Callithrix jacchus: one gene and its partners. The protein of the gene in region 1 purifies or fractionates together with the protein of each later gene. This does not show direct contact. Links are inferred from orthologs where the notes say so. Each region holds a gene or a part of one and is shown in the gene's direction. Other genes may lie near its edges.

Evidence for each region.
Region 2: the proteins of HSP90B1 (region 1) and OS9 purify together in Homo sapiens (affinity purification with mass spectrometry; 6 studies listed by BioGRID and IntAct, with this or other methods). This does not show direct contact. The link is inferred for Callithrix jacchus from reciprocal best matches to the Homo sapiens genes HSP90B1 and OS9.
Region 3: the proteins of HSP90B1 (region 1) and CALR fractionate together in Homo sapiens (co-fractionation; 4 studies listed by BioGRID, with this or other methods). This does not show direct contact. The link is inferred for Callithrix jacchus from reciprocal best matches to the Homo sapiens genes HSP90B1 and CALR.
Region 4: the proteins of HSP90B1 (region 1) and ERBB2 purify together in Homo sapiens (affinity purification with western blotting; 3 studies listed by BioGRID and IntAct, with this or other methods). This does not show direct contact. The link is inferred for Callithrix jacchus from reciprocal best matches to the Homo sapiens genes HSP90B1 and ERBB2.

Annotation. Positions count from the first base shown.
Region 1 is NC_133510.1:106,884,119-106,888,191, forward strand, and holds part of HSP90B1 (endoplasmin), read left to right. Parts: intron 1-865; coding exon 866-977; intron 978-1,506; coding exon 1,507-1,626; intron 1,627-2,659; coding exon 2,660-2,776; intron 2,777-4,073.
Region 2 is NC_133510.1:61,984,407-61,987,962, reverse strand, and holds the end of OS9 (protein OS-9), read left to right. Parts: intron 1-180; coding exon 181-370; intron 371-1,299; coding exon 1,300-1,464; intron 1,465-1,606; coding exon 1,607-1,719; intron 1,720-1,996; coding exon 1,997-2,122; 3' UTR 2,123-2,768; downstream 2,769-3,556. UniProt on the Homo sapiens protein: Lectin component of the HRD1 complex, which functions in endoplasmic reticulum (ER) quality control and ER-associated degradation (ERAD).
Region 3 is NC_133523.1:11,760,356-11,765,207, forward strand, and holds the start of CALR (calreticulin), read left to right. Parts: upstream 1-1,763; 5' UTR 1,764-1,834; coding exon 1,835-1,925; intron 1,926-2,285; coding exon 2,286-2,387; intron 2,388-2,573; coding exon 2,574-2,777; intron 2,778-3,235; coding exon 3,236-3,330; intron 3,331-3,428; coding exon 3,429-3,638; intron 3,639-3,723; coding exon 3,724-3,837; intron 3,838-3,933; coding exon 3,934-4,077; intron 4,078-4,852. UniProt on the Homo sapiens protein: Calcium-binding chaperone that promotes folding, oligomeric assembly and quality control in the endoplasmic reticulum (ER) via the calreticulin/calnexin cycle.
Region 4 is NC_133506.1:120,167,280-120,171,352, forward strand, and holds part of ERBB2 (receptor tyrosine-protein kinase erbB-2), read left to right. Parts: intron 1-752; coding exon 753-904; exon of another isoform or gene 905-967; intron 968-1,778; coding exon 1,779-1,992; intron 1,993-3,063; coding exon 3,064-3,198; intron 3,199-3,563; coding exon 3,564-3,632; intron 3,633-3,836; coding exon 3,837-3,952; intron 3,953-4,073. UniProt on the Homo sapiens protein: Protein tyrosine kinase that is part of several cell surface receptor complexes, but that apparently needs a coreceptor for ligand binding. Essential component of a neuregulin-receptor complex, although neuregulins do not interact with it alone.

The DNA of each region.
Region 1 (4,073 bases):
TAGAACATGTGCCCTGAGACCAGCAGCCTAGTCACTCACGAGGCTTTGTCATCATATCATGGCTACTTATTGACCAGGTACCACTAAACTACTGAGCCTTTTGAGACAGGGAGGGAACCACAGATAGGCCATTTCCCCATACTTAATTGGATACACAAATATCAAGCTTTGGGCTACCTATTGTGCTCAAGAGTAGGTTTTAGGCTGAGCACAGTGGCTCATGCTTGTAATCCCTACACTGCCCGGTAGAAATTTATGTAATAGTGGAAATGTTCTATATGTGCACTTCCTAGTTTGGCGACCACCAGCCACATGTGACTGTTGAGTACTTGGAATGTAGCAATGTGACTGGAACTGAACTGTATATTTTATTTAAATAAGTCATATGTGCCCAGTGGCTACCATTTTGGATAGTGGAGATATAAATAATCCAGATTAATTTTCTAGCTTTTTTAAGGAAAATGTTTTCATTAATTAGGAGTAGTTATCTACAATAATCGTTAGGTTTCTAGAATAACAGTAAAAGCTATGAGAGTGCATGATTCCATTTTTTTCCAGAATTTTTCAGCGCTTTATCACCTTGACAAATGGAAAAAACCAATCTATTCAGAAGGTTGGGAATATTTTCATTTTCTATGGTTATTCTCCACTTGGGGTAATGTAGAGGAGATTCTTCTCTTTACTGAATCTCTATATGTGTTAACATTTTAGCTCACAAACCCTTATTGGTGATGGAGAGTTAACATGAATAATTAGGACATCTTCGATTACACAGAACTGCTGGCTATTACCATGGTATTTAGGTGAATTTATAATCTCATATCCTAAATGTTAGATGTCACTAAACTTCGAATTTTTCTTTCAGCCTTGTCTTAAAAGAAGAAGCATCTGATTACCTTGAATTGGATACAATTAAAAATCTCGTGAAAAAATATTCACAGTTCATAAACTTTCCTATTTATGTATGGAGCAGCAAGGTAAATCTATATTGATTAAAAACTTATATGTATTACCTTGGCACGTATTTAAATATTTAACACTAAAAGAATGAAAGCAGGCTGGGCACGGTGGCTCACGCCTGTAATCTCAGCACTTTGAAAGGCCAAGGCACATGGATCACCTGAGGTGTCAGGAGTTTGAGACCAGCCTGGCCAACATGGCAAAACCTCTACTAAAACTACAAAAAAATTAGCTGGGTGTGGTGGCACATGCCTATAGTCCCAGCTACTTGGGAGGCTGAGGCAGGAGAACACTTAAACCCGGGAGATAGAGGTTGCAGTGAGCTGAGATTGCCCCACTGCATTCCAGCCTGGGCAACAAAGCAAGACTCTGTCTCAGGAAAAAAAAAAAAAAAAAGAATGAAGGCAAAGTGTGGTATATTAGTTGAGGATACATACTCTCAGGGTTTTCTTACGAAGACCTATTTTTTGTAATGTTATGTCATATTCTGTAGACAGGATTGTTAAAAAAATGAGTTTAACCATAATTCTCCTTTTATTTCAACAGACTGAAACTGTTGAGGAGCCCATGGAGGAAGAAGAGGCAGCAAAAGAAGAGAAAGAAGAATCTGATGATGAAGCTGCAGTAGAGGAAGAAGAAGAAGAAAAGAAACCAAAGACTAAAAAGGTAAGTCTGCTTCATCTCTCTGCGTAAGATACTATTTAACATGTAGGGCAGAACCAGGAAAACCCAAGTATGCGCTGGCTGTTTTGAGGTCAGCTTCAGTTCTTAAGGTTCTACTTGCTCCAGGTGCTAAGTCCATGGAGCCAGCTTTTAAAATAAGGCCTTTGTTTGTATGTTGAGTACATTGTCTGGTAGAAAGTTTTAAATGTCAAACCCAGGTCGTTTTTATGAAGAGTTTTCTGACTTTTATATATTGCCTAGGATTGGTGGCTTATATGTTTGGAATTTTTAAATATTAAAAAGCTTTCTGAGTCCTCTTTTGTCCTTTTATGATGTAGGGATTAACTATAAAAATAGTTCTCTGGTTTGCTTAGGTAGCAGAGTAAGAAGTATTGGTTGTGGTGGTTGAGAAATATTTTTCTAAAATGTTGGATTTTTTTAAGTCACGAAATAGGAATATGTAATATGTATTTCCTTCTAATCTCAAGACAACTATTTTCAAGAAGTACTTTTGCTAATTAAAAATAACAAAACATACTTGGTTTTTCATCAGTTAACAATTGTCTTTTTGAATTAAATATTGAGAAAAATACTTTGCTTTTCATGGAGGTGGCAGAAACCTTACTAGATAACAGGTATCTTTTGGTGCCTTTTTTTTCTTTAATCTGGAGACAGAGTCTCTGCCACAAAGTCTGGAGTGCAGTGGCACAATTATAGCTCCCTTCAACCTTGAACTCCTAGGTTTAAGCAGTCCTCTTGCCTCAGCCTCCCAAGTAGCTAGGACTACAGGCACACACCAACATTTTTAAAAATTTTTTTGTAGAGATGGAGGTTTTGCTATGTTTCCTGGACTGGTCTTGAACTCCTGGGCCCAAGCAGCCCCCTGACCTCCCAAAGTGCTAGAATTGCAGGTGTGAGCCACCACACCAGGCCTCTGGTTCCGTATATATTCTTTTGAAATCTGAAGCCATGGTTACTGCTAGGAAAACCTTGATAAGTGCTAAGAGAGACTAATCAAATACCATAATAACTTCAGGTTGAAAAAACTGTGTGGGACTGGGAACTTATGAATGATATCAAACCAATATGGCAGAGACCATCAAAAGAAGTAGAAGAAGATGAATACAAAGCTTTCTACAAATCATTTTCAAAGGTAAATATTTATAATTCCCTAGCTTCTGGTTATTAATGAGTAGACAAAGTATCATCCTGTTAGTTGTAATTGCATATGGTATGTGACCATGAATATGAGATGGTTCATTCCTATTTTTTCCCAGAGAGAAAATTCAAAAAAAAGACCTTTAGGCCAACTATAATATATCTATTTCTGGCATATTGACCTAATCATAATTAAAATCACATTTAAATTTTATATGAAGCTTTGAGATTGGCATCTCAACAGAGAATTTAAGAGTAAATTTGTTTCCAGAACACACCATTTTTACTTAAATTGAATTATTACGCTCATCACTACTTCAAAATTGCAGCAGTTATTAAATTTAGTCCTAGCTCATAGTTAATATAATAGTGAAACATTACAAAATCAAGAATGTTTGAAACAGTTTTGTGGCTGTTTAAACAGAATTGGTTTCCTTTTTATTCCTGTGTATTTTGTAATATGTGATTTAAAAAAAAATTATTTTGAGAAGGCATCTGTAGGCTTCACCAGCTTGCCAAGGATTTTGTGTGACAAAAAAAGATTAAGAACCACCTACATAGGTAGATGTGTGATTTCCACCACAAAACCCGTAAAACATGAAATCATGTTAAGTGGCTTTAAAGAGCTTGCTTATGACATCAAACACTTACTGTGAGATGCTTCGCCTGTTTCCCTACCTATTTTTTTTTTCTTTTACTGATCCCTTCTTGAAACTATTAAAAATGCAAAACTAGCATTAAGGTTGTTTCAAGTCAGTGTTTCCCCAGCAGCATTTGGTATGAGTAATAGAATGTGCTAGTGGACTTACCCATAGCTAAATAAAACTTCATATTTTGTGTCTGTATTTGTTGTTTTCTCTATGCCATATCCTTTAAATTTTAACTCTTAAAACACTGTTGGTTCTTCCTTCACTTTTATTTCCATAAACTCTAAAGTTTTAGTGTCTATCAACTAATTTTATATTAAGGCAGCTGTATCAGAAATACAATTAATGTGGCCGAGCGCGGTGGCTCAAGCCTGTAATCCCAGCACTTTGGGAGGCCAAGGCGGGCAGATCACGAGGTCAAGAGATCGAGACCATCCTGGCCGACATGGTGAAACCCCATCTTTTTAAAAAAAGAAATACAATTAATGTGAGCCACACATATGATTTTAAATTTTTTAGAAGCCATACAAAAAAAGGGAAACATGAAATGTTGTTAATAATGTAATTTATTTAGCCCAGCATATGCCAAATAGTATTATTTCAACATATAATCAATATAAAAACTAATGAGACGTTTCACATCCT
Region 2 (3,556 bases), about 45 Mb from region 1:
ATCTCGCTTGAACCCGGGAGGCGGAGGTTGCAGTGAGCCAAGATTGTGCCACTGCACTCCAGCCTGGGCAACAAGAACAAAACTGCGTCACAAAATAGCAGACTCTCCTACAGAGCCTGGCCTGCTGGCCACCTCCATACCCCAGACCCTTGAGTGTTTATCTTCTCTTGGGTATTCCAGACAGAGAAGGAGCTGGACCCAGATGGGCTGAAGAAGGAGTCAGAGCGGGATCGGGCAATGCTGGCTCTGACATCCACTCTCAACAAACTCATCAAAAGACTGGAGGAAAAGCAGAGTCCAGAGCTGGTGAAGAAGCACAGGAAAAAGAGGGTTGTCCCCAAAAAGCCTCCCCCATCACCCCAACCTACAGGTGAGAGCAGTCAGACAAGAAGGAGTAGCCCAGTCCATTGTTTTCATCCCTCAGCTGGTCTTGTTCTTTGAGGGGACCCTGTTCCTTGCCTTCTGAGGGTGTTCATTCTCTCCCCTCTTTCTGGAACACTGTCCTCACTTGCGCCTCCTTCGCACCACTGTCATCCCTTGGCATGCTTACCTCCTATTCATCCCTCTGGGAAGCAGCTTTTAGAGCATGTCTGCTTGTTTCCTGGTTTGCTCCTGCACAGCCAGTGCCTAGCACACTGCCTGGCACACACTGACTGATCAGTAGATAGTAACTGAATGTTTGTGAGTCTATATGCTGAAAACCACACAACTGTGAAGGATGTAGCCTGTCAACATTTAGGACTTTGCACCGAGTGAGGTCCTAGCTATCAGGGTATGAATAGGAGAGCCCAGCTGCACATGAGTCAATAGCCTGGATAGACTTTAAATTACTTCTTCTTCTTGCATCCCCTTGTGTCCATTTCATAGGGTCCTATTGGTGTGGACATCAGATATTCCAAATGGAATGTTCAGTTTCAAACCTTCCATCCCATTCTCTCTATAAACATTAAGTCCCAACATATGGAGGAAGAAACCGCACTTTTCCAACCTGCTTCTTCAAACGAAACTTAATTGATGCAGGTGGCCTAATTTTGGCTTCAGAAAACATTTGTTTTCCTATAGGTGATGGGCAGAATTATTGAGTAGGGTGGGAAGATGGAAGACTGCAATTGATGGAGGGAGCTCTACTGGGTGAATTGGATGGGGGAGGCACACAGTTTTTTGACCCCTGGCTCATATACATGTTGAGATGGAATAGCTGCCAAAGCCAACTGATGTTTTAGGGGGAGGCGACCCCCACACCCCAACCCTGGAGTCACGCCTCTGCTTTGTGTTTCCCTGTGTGTCTCCCCCTCTAAGAGGAGGATCCTGAGCACAGAGTCCGGGTCCGGGTCACCAAGCTCCGTCTCGGAGGCCCTAATCAGGATCTGACGGTCCTCGAGATGAAACGGGAAAACCCACAGCTGAAACAAATCGAGGGGCTGGTGAAGGAGCTGCTGGAGAGGGAGGGACTCACAGCTGCAGGTGGGCCCTGGAGGGCGGCTGGACCCAGCGCTGTCGGAAGGGCGAGCTGCCGGAAGCGGAGGGGCTGGGACCAGCGGGGCAGGGGGCCTGCCCTGAGGCTCCTAGCTATCTTCTCCTCTCACTGCATACTGCTCCTTTCCAGGGAAAATTGAGATCAAAATTGTCCGCCCATGGGCGGAAGGGGCTGAAGAGGGTGCACGCTGGCTGACTGATGAGGACACAAGAAACCTCAAGGAGATCTTCTTCAATATCTTGGTGAGAGGCTTCTACCCCCAGGCCTGGCCTCCAGCCCTCGCGTCCCCAGCCCGCCTGCAGTGGAGGCACAGGCCTGCCCCAGCCACGCTGTTGCTTTGTTCTTTTCCTGATCTATAAGATGAGGCTAGGGTTCCAGTGGCTCCGAGCGCTGCCACTCAGGGAGAGCCCCTCAGGACATGAGTGTTCTCACTCCCTGCCTTCCCCCAGCCACCCGGCCCTGGACTTCCCTGGGCTCAACAGCCAGCAGCTCCAGCCCACCTCTACCCTCTCCCACCAGGTGCCGGGAGCCGAAGAAGCCCAGAAAGAACGCCAGCGGCAGAAAGAGCTGGAGAGCAATTACCGCCGGGTGTGGGGCTCTCAAGGTGGGGAGGGCACAGGGGACCTGGATGAATTTGACTTCTGAGACCAACACTGCACTTGACCCTCCACAGAATCCAGAGTCTTCCTGGACTGGCCTGCCTCCTCCCCACCTCCCTACCCTGGTACCCCTGAGGGCCAAACAGCAGAGTGGAGCTGAGCTGCGGACCTCTCGGGTGACTCTGTGGGTGTGGGGGCCCTGGGTGAATGCTGTTGCCCCTGCTGGCAGCCACCTGGAGACCTCACCGGGCCTGTGATGTTTGCTCTCCTGGGCTTTCCCTCAATCCGCTTCCTCTCCTCTGTGGCTTTTCCTGTTATTGTCCCCTAATGATAGGATATTCCCTGCTCCGTACCTGGAGATTCAGTAGGATCTTTGGAGTGGAGTGGGGTAGAGAGAGCAAGGAGGGCAGGGCAGTGAGCAGGCACTGAGCAAGCAGGCCCCCACCTGCCCCTAGTGCTGTTGGGAGTCGCTTTACCCCCTTCTATTGAATTGCCTTGGGATTTCCTTCTCCTTTTCCCTGCCCACCCTGTCACACACCATTTGTCCTTCTGAGTTGAGGAGCCTTCACCTCTGTTGCTGAGAAAGTGGGAGAATGCTACCCATCACCTCCAGCACAATCCCAGCGAAAAAGGTGTGAAGCACCTACCATGTTCTTGAACAATCAGGTTTCTAAATAAAGAACTGGACCATCGATCCATCAACCTTTTTTCTGGGGTGGGGGCTCCAGCAGGGAGGAGGCTCGTGCTCTTTTCAGATCATGCTCTGGTTCTGTTCTTTGCTCCCCACTCCCCGGGTCTATAAATGGGGCTGGAGTATGCAGGATAAGACCAGGGCAGCTAAATGAAGCCTGGCCTGGCAAGGATTCAAAGAAACACTTGCTGTACTGCCGTCTTCCTTTTCTCATCTGTCCATTTCTGTTTCTTCCCTTCTTTTACACCAAGTCTTTCCCCATCCTCTACCCCTTTATACTCTGAAAGCCAAAATGTATACCACAGAGTTACCCTGTCAGGGATCTTCCTTCTGCTGCAGTCTCTCCTGCAGCATGCTCCAGGTTCCATTTGCCATCCAAACCGCTACCCACCTGTCCTTTCAACATTTCCCAAAAACACCTCCACCTTTGGCCATACCCAGAGAGAGGGCTGCTGCCCACATATGCCAGTTTCTTAGTATGCCAAGGGTACATGGGCCTGGTGTCTCCCTCTCTTCCTCACTACTAAGTGCAGCTATGGGTCCTCCCATGTGCCTTCTCCCAGTGTGGAAGACTCTGATCTTTCTTTTTCTTGGTTGAGACAGAGTCTCCTTTTGTTTGCCCAGGCTGGAGTGCAGCGGTATGATCTTGGTTCACTGCAACCTCTGCCTCCCAGGTTCAAGCAATTTGCTGTCTCAGCCTCCCGAGTAGCTGGGATTACAGGTGCCTGCCACCATGCCCGGCTAATTTTTGTATTTTTAGTAGAGATGAGGTTTCACCATATTGGCCAA
Region 3 (4,852 bases), on another chromosome or scaffold:
GGCCTCCTGAGTAGCTGGGATTACAGGTGTGTGCCACCACGACCGTCTAATTTTTGTATTTTTAGTGGAGATGGGGTTTTTCCATGTTGGTCAGGCTGGTCTTGAACTCCTGATCTCAGATGATCTGCCCTCCTTGGCCTCCCCAAGTGCTGGCTTTACAGACTTTGAGCCACCACGATCTCAGCTCAACGCAACCTCCGCCTCCTGGGCTCAGGCAATTCTCCTGCCTCAGCCTCCTGAGTAGCTGGGATTACAGGCACGTGTCACCATGCCCAGCTAATTTTTTGTATTTTTAGTAGAGACGGGGGTTTCACCATGTTGACCAGGGTGGTCTCGATCTCTTGACCTCGTGATCCACCCGCCTCGGCCTCCCAAAGTGCTGGGATTACACGCTTGAGCCACCGCGCCCGGCCTCTTTTTCTTTTTTTTTTAACCAAAAACACTTGCCAGATTATTCCCCCCCTTCCAACTTTGTTTTCCCTTTTAAAGAATTTGTTCCTTCCTCCCTTTTCTGACTATCTTTAGCTAGGAAGCAACCCTCCCCGCCCTCTTTCCTGGATCCCCTTCATTCCCTCCTTCCACAGTCCACTCCCGGGTTCCCAGGTCCAGGGCTTATTTGCCTAGACTTTGGAAAACCCCCAGCTCTCCTTCCTCCTTTCTGCAGCGTGGGGGCAGGGTGCTGGTGTCAGTCACGTCTCTCTAGCTTCAGAAGAAGGCACTAGACTCAGTCGAGGTCGAGGTGGGGGGGGGGGTCCTGCCCATCTCCCTAGCACCTTATCGTCCCTACCGTCTGTCTTTTTTCCCTCCCCAAACGGAACCCCCGGCCCTCTCGCCTATAGACGTTTAATTGCAAAAGCCAGGCCGTTTGTGGGAGACCACAAGACATCGACCCCCTTCATTTACCGGTTGAGAAGAGAGTAAAGGGGCTGCTGCAACCTGGGTAATAACCCTGTCCCCACCCCAGGAGTCACATCCTTAAGCCTTCCTTCCCTCTTGTCCCAGGACAGCTTTCAAAACGTTAAAAGCCTTTCGGCTGGGTAGCATCTGACCAGGGAGGGTCGTCCCCTCTGGCTGCTCAGGGGCGTCTGTCACTTCAGAAAGGTTAAGTGACTTGCCCCAGGTCGCACAGCAGCAGTCCGATAGGCTGCCAGGGCACTAGGGGCAGAAGGAGGAGAGAGTTGGCATTTTTCCCATTGGCCCGCGTGGCTGTAGCACTGGGGTGCAGCGAAGCCCCAGGGCCACAACCCCTGAGCTCTGTTCAATCCCGGGCGGAGATGGGGGAGCGGCTGTAGGGTACTGGTTCCCGAATGGCTAGAAAAGCCTTGCCCAGCCCCTCCAGGTAGAGGGAATGAGAGGGAGAGAAGTTGGGACATGGTTCCGGTCCCGCGTGGAAACACCTGCGCTCGCGCCAGTGCTTTAAACGCCCAGATGAGGAAAGACGCACGCGGGCGAGGGCGGGGTTGGGTTTAGATCTGGTCACATGACCTGGCCTGAGGGGCTCGAGGCCCCCGCCCCACCAGAGGGCGTCCCCCACAACGCGTGGTCGACTCTCATTGGTCAGCGGTGAGGCCAATAGAAATCGGCCATCTGGGAACCCAGCGTTCCGAGGCGCAGCCTAACATGGTGAACCGATAAAGATCCAATGGAAAAAGACAATCGTGAGCGCAGACCAATGATAAAGTGTCAAGGGCGGGCCCAAGGGCTTGGTCAGGTTGGTTTGAGAGGCGGATGGGTATAAAGGTGCAAGGCGGGCGGCGGCGGCCGTCCGTACTGCAGAGCCGCTGCCCCAAAGTCGTTTTAAAGGGCCAGCGCGCCGCCGCCCCCTCGGCCCGCCATGCTGCTATCCGTGCCGCTGCTGCTCGGCCTCCTCGGCCTGGCTGCCGCCGAGCCCGCCATCTATTTCAAGGAGCAGTTTCTGGACGGAGGTAACGCCTGATTTCGCCTCGAGGCTGCCCCGCCGACGCGGCTGGCCCCCATCCCGGATCTGCGTTGTTGCCCGTAATTACTGCTTTGGGGACCAACATGGTGGCCTCCAGGGCCTAGAGCCGAGGGCTATTCCTCTTTTGCGTCCCTGGGGAGCGCAGAGGCGCAGCGGCCTCCCGCAGCGGGAGTTAGGGTTCGCCTGAGGATCTCTTAAGGCACCTGAGGTGTCAAACTAGAGGTTGGGGTGGGGAGAGTCGGGGATCTCCTTCCCTGTCCCCAGCAGTTTTTGATTCTCGGCAGATGTTTGGTGGTGGGGAATCGGCACAACCGCGTTGACCTCCCCCCTCTAACCTCCCACTTAGATGGGTGGACTTCCCGCTGGATCGAATCCAAACACAAGTCAGATTTTGGCAAATTTGCCCTCAGTTCCGGCAAGTTCTACGGTGACCAGGAGAAAGATAAAGGTAAGAGCCTAGGAGTGGGTGCTCTGATCCGGGAGGACTTCCTGGCAGAAGTCCTTGTCTGCACACAGCTGGGACAGTCCCCTAGGAGGAGAGCAGGTGGAGGAAAGGGGAGTCGTTTGTATTCTCTAGGTCTTGGGTCCTCGGGGGTCAGGGCCCAACGGTGACCTCACTGCTATTCCGTTTCAGGTTTGCAGACAAGCCAGGATGCACGCTTTTATGCTCTATCGGCCAGTTTTGAGCCCTTTAGCAACAAAGGGCAGACACTAGTGGTGCAGTTCACGGTGAAACATGAGCAGAACATCGACTGTGGGGGCGGCTATGTGAAGCTGTTTCCTAGTAGTTTGGACCAGACGGACATGCACGGAGACTCAGAATACAACATCATGTTCGGTGAGGGGCTGGTTCCTGGTGCTGATCTCTGTCCCATTAGTTGGAGGGAGACTCAGACCCCATTGAGTTCCTTACATCCCAGAAAAGTGATTTTTGAGAGGATGGAAAGCATTTACTAATCATGATTTTCTTTGGAAGGAGAGCTAAAAGAATAGGTCACAGTTAGCAACAATTTATTGCCTTATCCCAGATCTAGGCTGTTAATTTAATTTGTATGATTGTATATAGTTACTTCCCAATCTTACAAATGAGGATGTTGAGTTCTAGAACGCTCATTTTTTTTCTTTAAACTTGAGGCTCCAGCCACAGTTCATTCAGGACAGCATCAAGGTCTGAGTCCCTCTTTTTAGCCTTGACAGACCAAGTTTAAGAACCAGGTTTTCCTTTTGTAAAGAGGGGAGAGGGCCTTGAAATGGTGGGTAGTCTCTGACTCTTAACTGGATGTGTTTCCCACCTAGGTCCTGACATCTGTGGCCCTGGCACCAAGAAGGTTCATGTCATCTTCAACTACAAGGGCAAGAACGTGCTGATCAACAAGGACATCCGTTGCAAGGTGTGCCTGGGGGTGGTGGTGGCAAATGATGGCTGTCATGGGAAGTTCAGAGGTCGGTCTGATTGCGGGGGGCCCCACTCACCTCCTTCCTTCTTCAGGATGATGAGTTTACACACCTGTACACACTGATTGTGCGACCGGACAATACCTACGAGGTGAAGATCGACAACAGCCAGGTGGAGTCGGGGTCCTTGGAGGACGATTGGGACTTTCTGCCACCCAAGAAGATAAAGGATCCTGCTGCTTCAAAACCGGAAGACTGGGATGAGCGGGCCAAGATCGATGATCCCACAGACTCCAAGCCTGAGGTAGGTGTTTGGGGAGGGGCTCTGCTTTCCACACTGGAGCGTGTGTAGGACAGCTGGGCCAACTCTGACCTCTTCTACACCCCAGGACTGGGACAAGCCTGAGCATATTCCTGACCCTGATGCCAAGAAGCCTGAGGACTGGGATGAAGAGATGGATGGAGAGTGGGAACCCCCAGTGATTCAGAACCCTGAGTACAAGGTGAGTTTGGGGTTCTGAGCAGGGCTGGAGCTCACAGTGGGGAGTCCACCAACCTCACTCACCCTCTGGTTCTTTTCTCCCTTATGCCTTCTGCAGGGTGAGTGGAAGCCCCGACAGATCGACAACCCAGATTACAAGGGCACTTGGATCCACCCAGAAATTGACAATCCCGAGTATTCCCCTGATCCCAATATCTATGCCTATGATAACTTTGGTGTGCTGGGCCTGGACCTCTGGCAGGTGAGACTTGGAGGGAAAAGGAGGATCCCTGGGGTACCTCGAGAGCTTACCATCACCCAGGAGGAAAGGGACAGGGTAGGATCACACCCCAGGAAGGTCTGACTCAAGATGGTACTTCTCTAAACAGTACTTCCTGGTCTGTCCTTATGGAGTCCTCACAGCAGCCCCTTTGAGGTTGTACTTTTTGTGCACCAAGTACTTCCCCTAGTACTTTTATGCAAATCAACTTCTTTAAATACCCCTAAAAAGCTAGAAGGTGGTCAGGTAACACAGAAAGTTTGGGGCTGGGCGCAGTGGCTCACCCTTGTAATCACAGTACTTTAGGAGGCTGAGGAAGGAGGATTGCTTAAGGCTAGGAGTTTGACAACTCAACCTTGCTTGGCAACATAGTGAGGCAACCTCATCTCTACACAAATTTTAAAATTAGCCAGATGTGATGCATACCTGTTATCCCAACTATCTAGGAAGAAAGAGGATCACTTGAGCCTGAGGCATTGAGGCTCCAGTGAGCCATGATTGTGTCACTGCACTCCAGCCTGGGTGATGGAGTGAGAACCTGTTTCAAAAAAAAAGCTGGCACTGAATTTTTTGGTCACTAAAATACCTTCTGTGCCCAGGACAGTGCCTGGCATGTAGTACATACCTGAAAGAGAGAGAAACAGAAACTGGTACAGAGAAGTGAAGTCAGTGACCCAAGGTCATAGGGGCAGGAAACTGCAAAGCCGGGGTTTGAACCAGGCAGTCTGGCATCCAGCACCTGAGTCTCTTCATCTTT
Region 4 (4,073 bases), on another chromosome or scaffold:
AGCTGGTTCTGGAGTCTTGCTGTGAGGAGGTGGCCAGATGAGGGTGCCAGCACAGGAAACCTTGGTGCAGGATCTGTGCCACCCTGGCCCAGTATCTGCAGCCTGTGTCCAGATGCCCACAGCTGGAGTCTGATGCTCCTTTTCTCTTCATAGGGGACTCCCAGAGGTCTCTGCAATGACCAGGGCCCTGGTTGCCCCATGCCCCAGCTACAACTCCAGCTGACCCTCCTTCCCCACTCTCTGGGTGGCATTAGGGGGGTGTGTACCCCTTGCCAAGAGGTTGGCACGTGGGTGTACTGGAATGGCATAGGGAGAATGCCCCAAGTTTGTTTGCTTGGGAGAGGGGCAGGGGGTATCCAGAAGATTCATGATTCATCATCGCCTCTCTTGGGGGATTTTTACCCCTGGCTCTGAGTTGTGCCTTTGGGACAAAGGGAGTCTTTCTTTTCCAGCCAACACCCTGTGCTGGCGGGTAAGCTCCACAGGGCTGGCACGCTGGGGCAGCCTCTGGATGCACAGGGTGGGCCCAGTCAGAAGGAGCCTCTCCCCTGAAATCCCTCTACTTCCCAAACACACAAGCTTTCTTCTGCTGTTAACCCTGCAGGTTCAAGGGATGTGGGTGGAAGGGTCCTTCAGTCAGGCCTTCTCCCTGTTTGAGGTGGCATGACCCTGGGAATGAGTTTGGATGGGGTGGCTAGATCTGAGAAGGTCCCTGGCCAGTGTCCTCTGACCCATCTGCTCCCTCCTGCCAGTGTGCACCGGCACGGACATGAAGCTGCGGCTCCCTGCCAGTCCTGAGACCCACCTGGACATGCTCCGCCACCTCTACCAGGGCTGCCAGGTGGTGCAGGGTAACCTGGAACTCACCTACCTGCCCGCCAATGCCAGCCTCTCCTTCCTGCAGGTGAGGCCCATGGGCAACCCAGCCAGGCCCTGCCTCCAGCTGGGCTGAGCCCTCTGTTTACAGGTGGGTGGCAGAAGACGGTGCCCTGCCCTTTATTTCCTCTCTTGTTGTTTCTCAACCAGGAAGTCCTTTCCAGCGTCCAACCCCCATTCGTTTTACTGCAGAATCAGTTGACTCTCTATAATGTGGCTGGCCGAGGACATCTCTGGATGGGATGCATCTGGGTTTCTGCTATAGCTTGTGCTCTCTTGTCAGCATGATCATGTCCCCCATCCACCTGCCCCAGCCACTGTCCCGCTCCCATCCAGAGCAGAAAGGGCCGGTGAGAAAGGTGGATTACAGGCCCAGTTCTGCCACTGACAAGCCCTATGAATGTGGCCTACACCCGCTTCGCTTCACTGGGTCTCAGTGTCCCTATCTGTTTATTGGGAGCAATAGGTACCCATTGTGAAGCTCGAAAGAGAAATGTCTGTGAAAACGTTATGAGCAGGAGAGAGAGTGTGGAAACCAGCCTGCTGGGTCATGTCCACGGACCCTGGAGTGGGGTCACCTGCTTGGTTTGTCAAATTGTAGACGCCATCCCATCCAGGCCTTTGCTTTCACTGAGGAAGAAACTAAGATGCAGAGAGGGTGGGGCACCTGCTCAGAGTTTACAAAGTGCCCCCCACCATTATCTTTCTTGATCATGTAAGAATCTGGTGAGACAAGGCGGGACATCACCTTTATCTCCATTTTATCATTTTATATATGAGGGAACAGGACTGCTCCGTGGCTGGGGGCCTTGCCCAAGATCCCTAAGTACTGGGGAACCTCAGGGAGGCCTTGGGGGGTAGTAGTGTTCCTGCTTCAGCCCCACCCTACTGCTCCCTACCAGGATATACAGGAGGTGCAGGGCTACGTGCTCATCGCCCACAACCAAGTGAGACAGGTCCCGCTGCAGAGGCTGCGGATTGTACGAGGCACCCAGCTCTTTGAGGACAACTATGCCCTGGCTGTGCTAGACAACGGAGACCCTCTGGACAATACCACCCCTGTCACAGGGGCCTCCCCAGGAGGCCTGCGGGAGCTGCAGCTTCGAAGCCTCACAGGTGGCCTTCACCATCATTGAAACTTTCTCTTGGTTATTCAGAGCTGACCAGAGCCACAGCTGACCATGGGGAGGCTTTGTGTGGATTAGAAATGGTGTCCCCTCTGCTGGGCACGGTGGCTCACGCCTGCAATCCCAACACTTTGGGAGGTGAGGTGGGTGGATCACCTTAGGTCAGGAGTTTGAGACCAGCCTGACCAACATGGAGAAACCCTGTCTTTACTAGAAATACAAAAGTTGCCTAGTGTGGTGGCGCGTGCCTATAATCCCAGCTACTTGGGAGGCTGGGGCAAGAGAATCCCTTGAACCCAGGAGGTGGAGGTTGGTTGCGGTGAGCTGAGATCATGCCATTGCACTCCAGCCTGGGCAACAAGAGTGAAACTCCATCTTGGGGGAAAAAAAAAAAAGAAATGGTGTCCCTCTAGGCAGATGCAGGCAGAGCCCAGGAAGATGCCCTCAGAAGATTGGGAAAAGATTCCCTGTCTTCCTAGGAAGGTGCAGCTTGCATCAGCACACATCATTCAATCATAGAATGCAGGCTGGGTTTTTGCCCCGACTTGGCTGAGTGAAGCGTACAGTGAACAACCCATGTCACTATTGGGTGGTCTGGAGCCGACTGTCCCCAGAGTCTGGGTGCCATGTGCTTTGCCTGCAGGGTCCCATTTCAGTCAAGCTGCAGTCCTGTCAGGAAAGAATCAGTGATTCTCATTCTACAGATGAGATAAGGGACAAAAGTTACATAGCGAGTGAGTGATGGGGCTGGGTTTCAGATTCCACAGTCTGTTAACCGCCAAGCAGCATGCCCAGAGTAGAGGTGAGAGGGGAGGAGAAAGCTGTGGTCCACGTCGGCATCTGGACCTAGCATGGACAACTCACTTCTCCCTGGTCTTGCTTTGTTCATGTGGTGGAGGTGGTATTGGTGGGGCTTGAAGATGCCGAAGATCTCTTCTCTCCTCCCTGGGAAATCAGGGGGTTTAAAAGGCCTGCTCCTGTCTTAGAAGGCATGAGGGCCCCAAGGGAGGCAGAAGGTGACCGAAGGGGAAAGGATCCCTGATCATTGCTCACCCCACAGAGATCTTGAAGGGAGGGGTCTGGATCCAGCGGAACCCCCAGCTCTGCTACCAGGACATGGTTTTGTGGAAGGACATCTTCCACAAGAACAACCAGCTGGCTCTCACACTGATAGACACCAACCGCTCTCGGGCCTGTAAGCCATGCTCCCCCTGCCACTCCTTCTCTCGGACAGCCTGACCCCAGCCCCAGACTCCTGACTTACAACCCAGAGCCCGCCCGCCACTGCCCCAGCTGCCTCCACCACTCATTTCCTCCCTCTCCGTCCCTCCTGCCATCTCTCTGTGCCTCTTCATCTCTGGCTCTGGGGTTCCCTGTCCTGTCTCCCTCTGCCTCTAGGTGGTGCCTCTGGTTTGGGGGCCTCTCTGTCTGTTGGGGTCCCTCCCTTGCTGTGCAGTTGGCCTTGTGGCCTCTGCTGCTGTTTGTGTGTCTCTCCGTTATTAACCTGTCCTCTTGCTGTTAGACATCTCTCTCACTGCCTCTCTCTGGTTCTGTCCTCAGGCCACCCCTGCTCTCCGGCGTGTAAGGGCTCCCGCTGCTGGGGAGAGAGTTCTGAGGACTGTCAGAGCCGTGAGTCTCAGGGAGGCCTGGAGTCAAGGGAGGGGAGGGCCAGGGCAGGGTGAAATACAGGTGTCATACAGGTGACAAGGGAGGGGTGGGATAACAGGTTTGGGATGTCTTCCCTGGGGTAGGTAGTATCCCTAGAAGGTGATGCTGATGAGGGTCTAGTGTCCAGGGTGCTATTCAGCCCTCATCCTTCCCTTTACCCAACAGTGACACGCACTGTCTGTGCCGGTGGCTGTGCCCGCTGCAAGGGCCCGCTGCCCACTGACTGCTGCCATGAGCAGTGTGCTGCCGGCTGCACGGGCCCCAAGCACTCTGACTGCCTGGTATGTGCCTCTGCCTTGTGCCTACTGTGCCCTACTCCCCAGGATGCAAGGGATGGGCACCCTGCCTGGTACTGCCCTATTGCCCCTGGTACACGAGGGAAAAACAGCGCAGTGACAACCA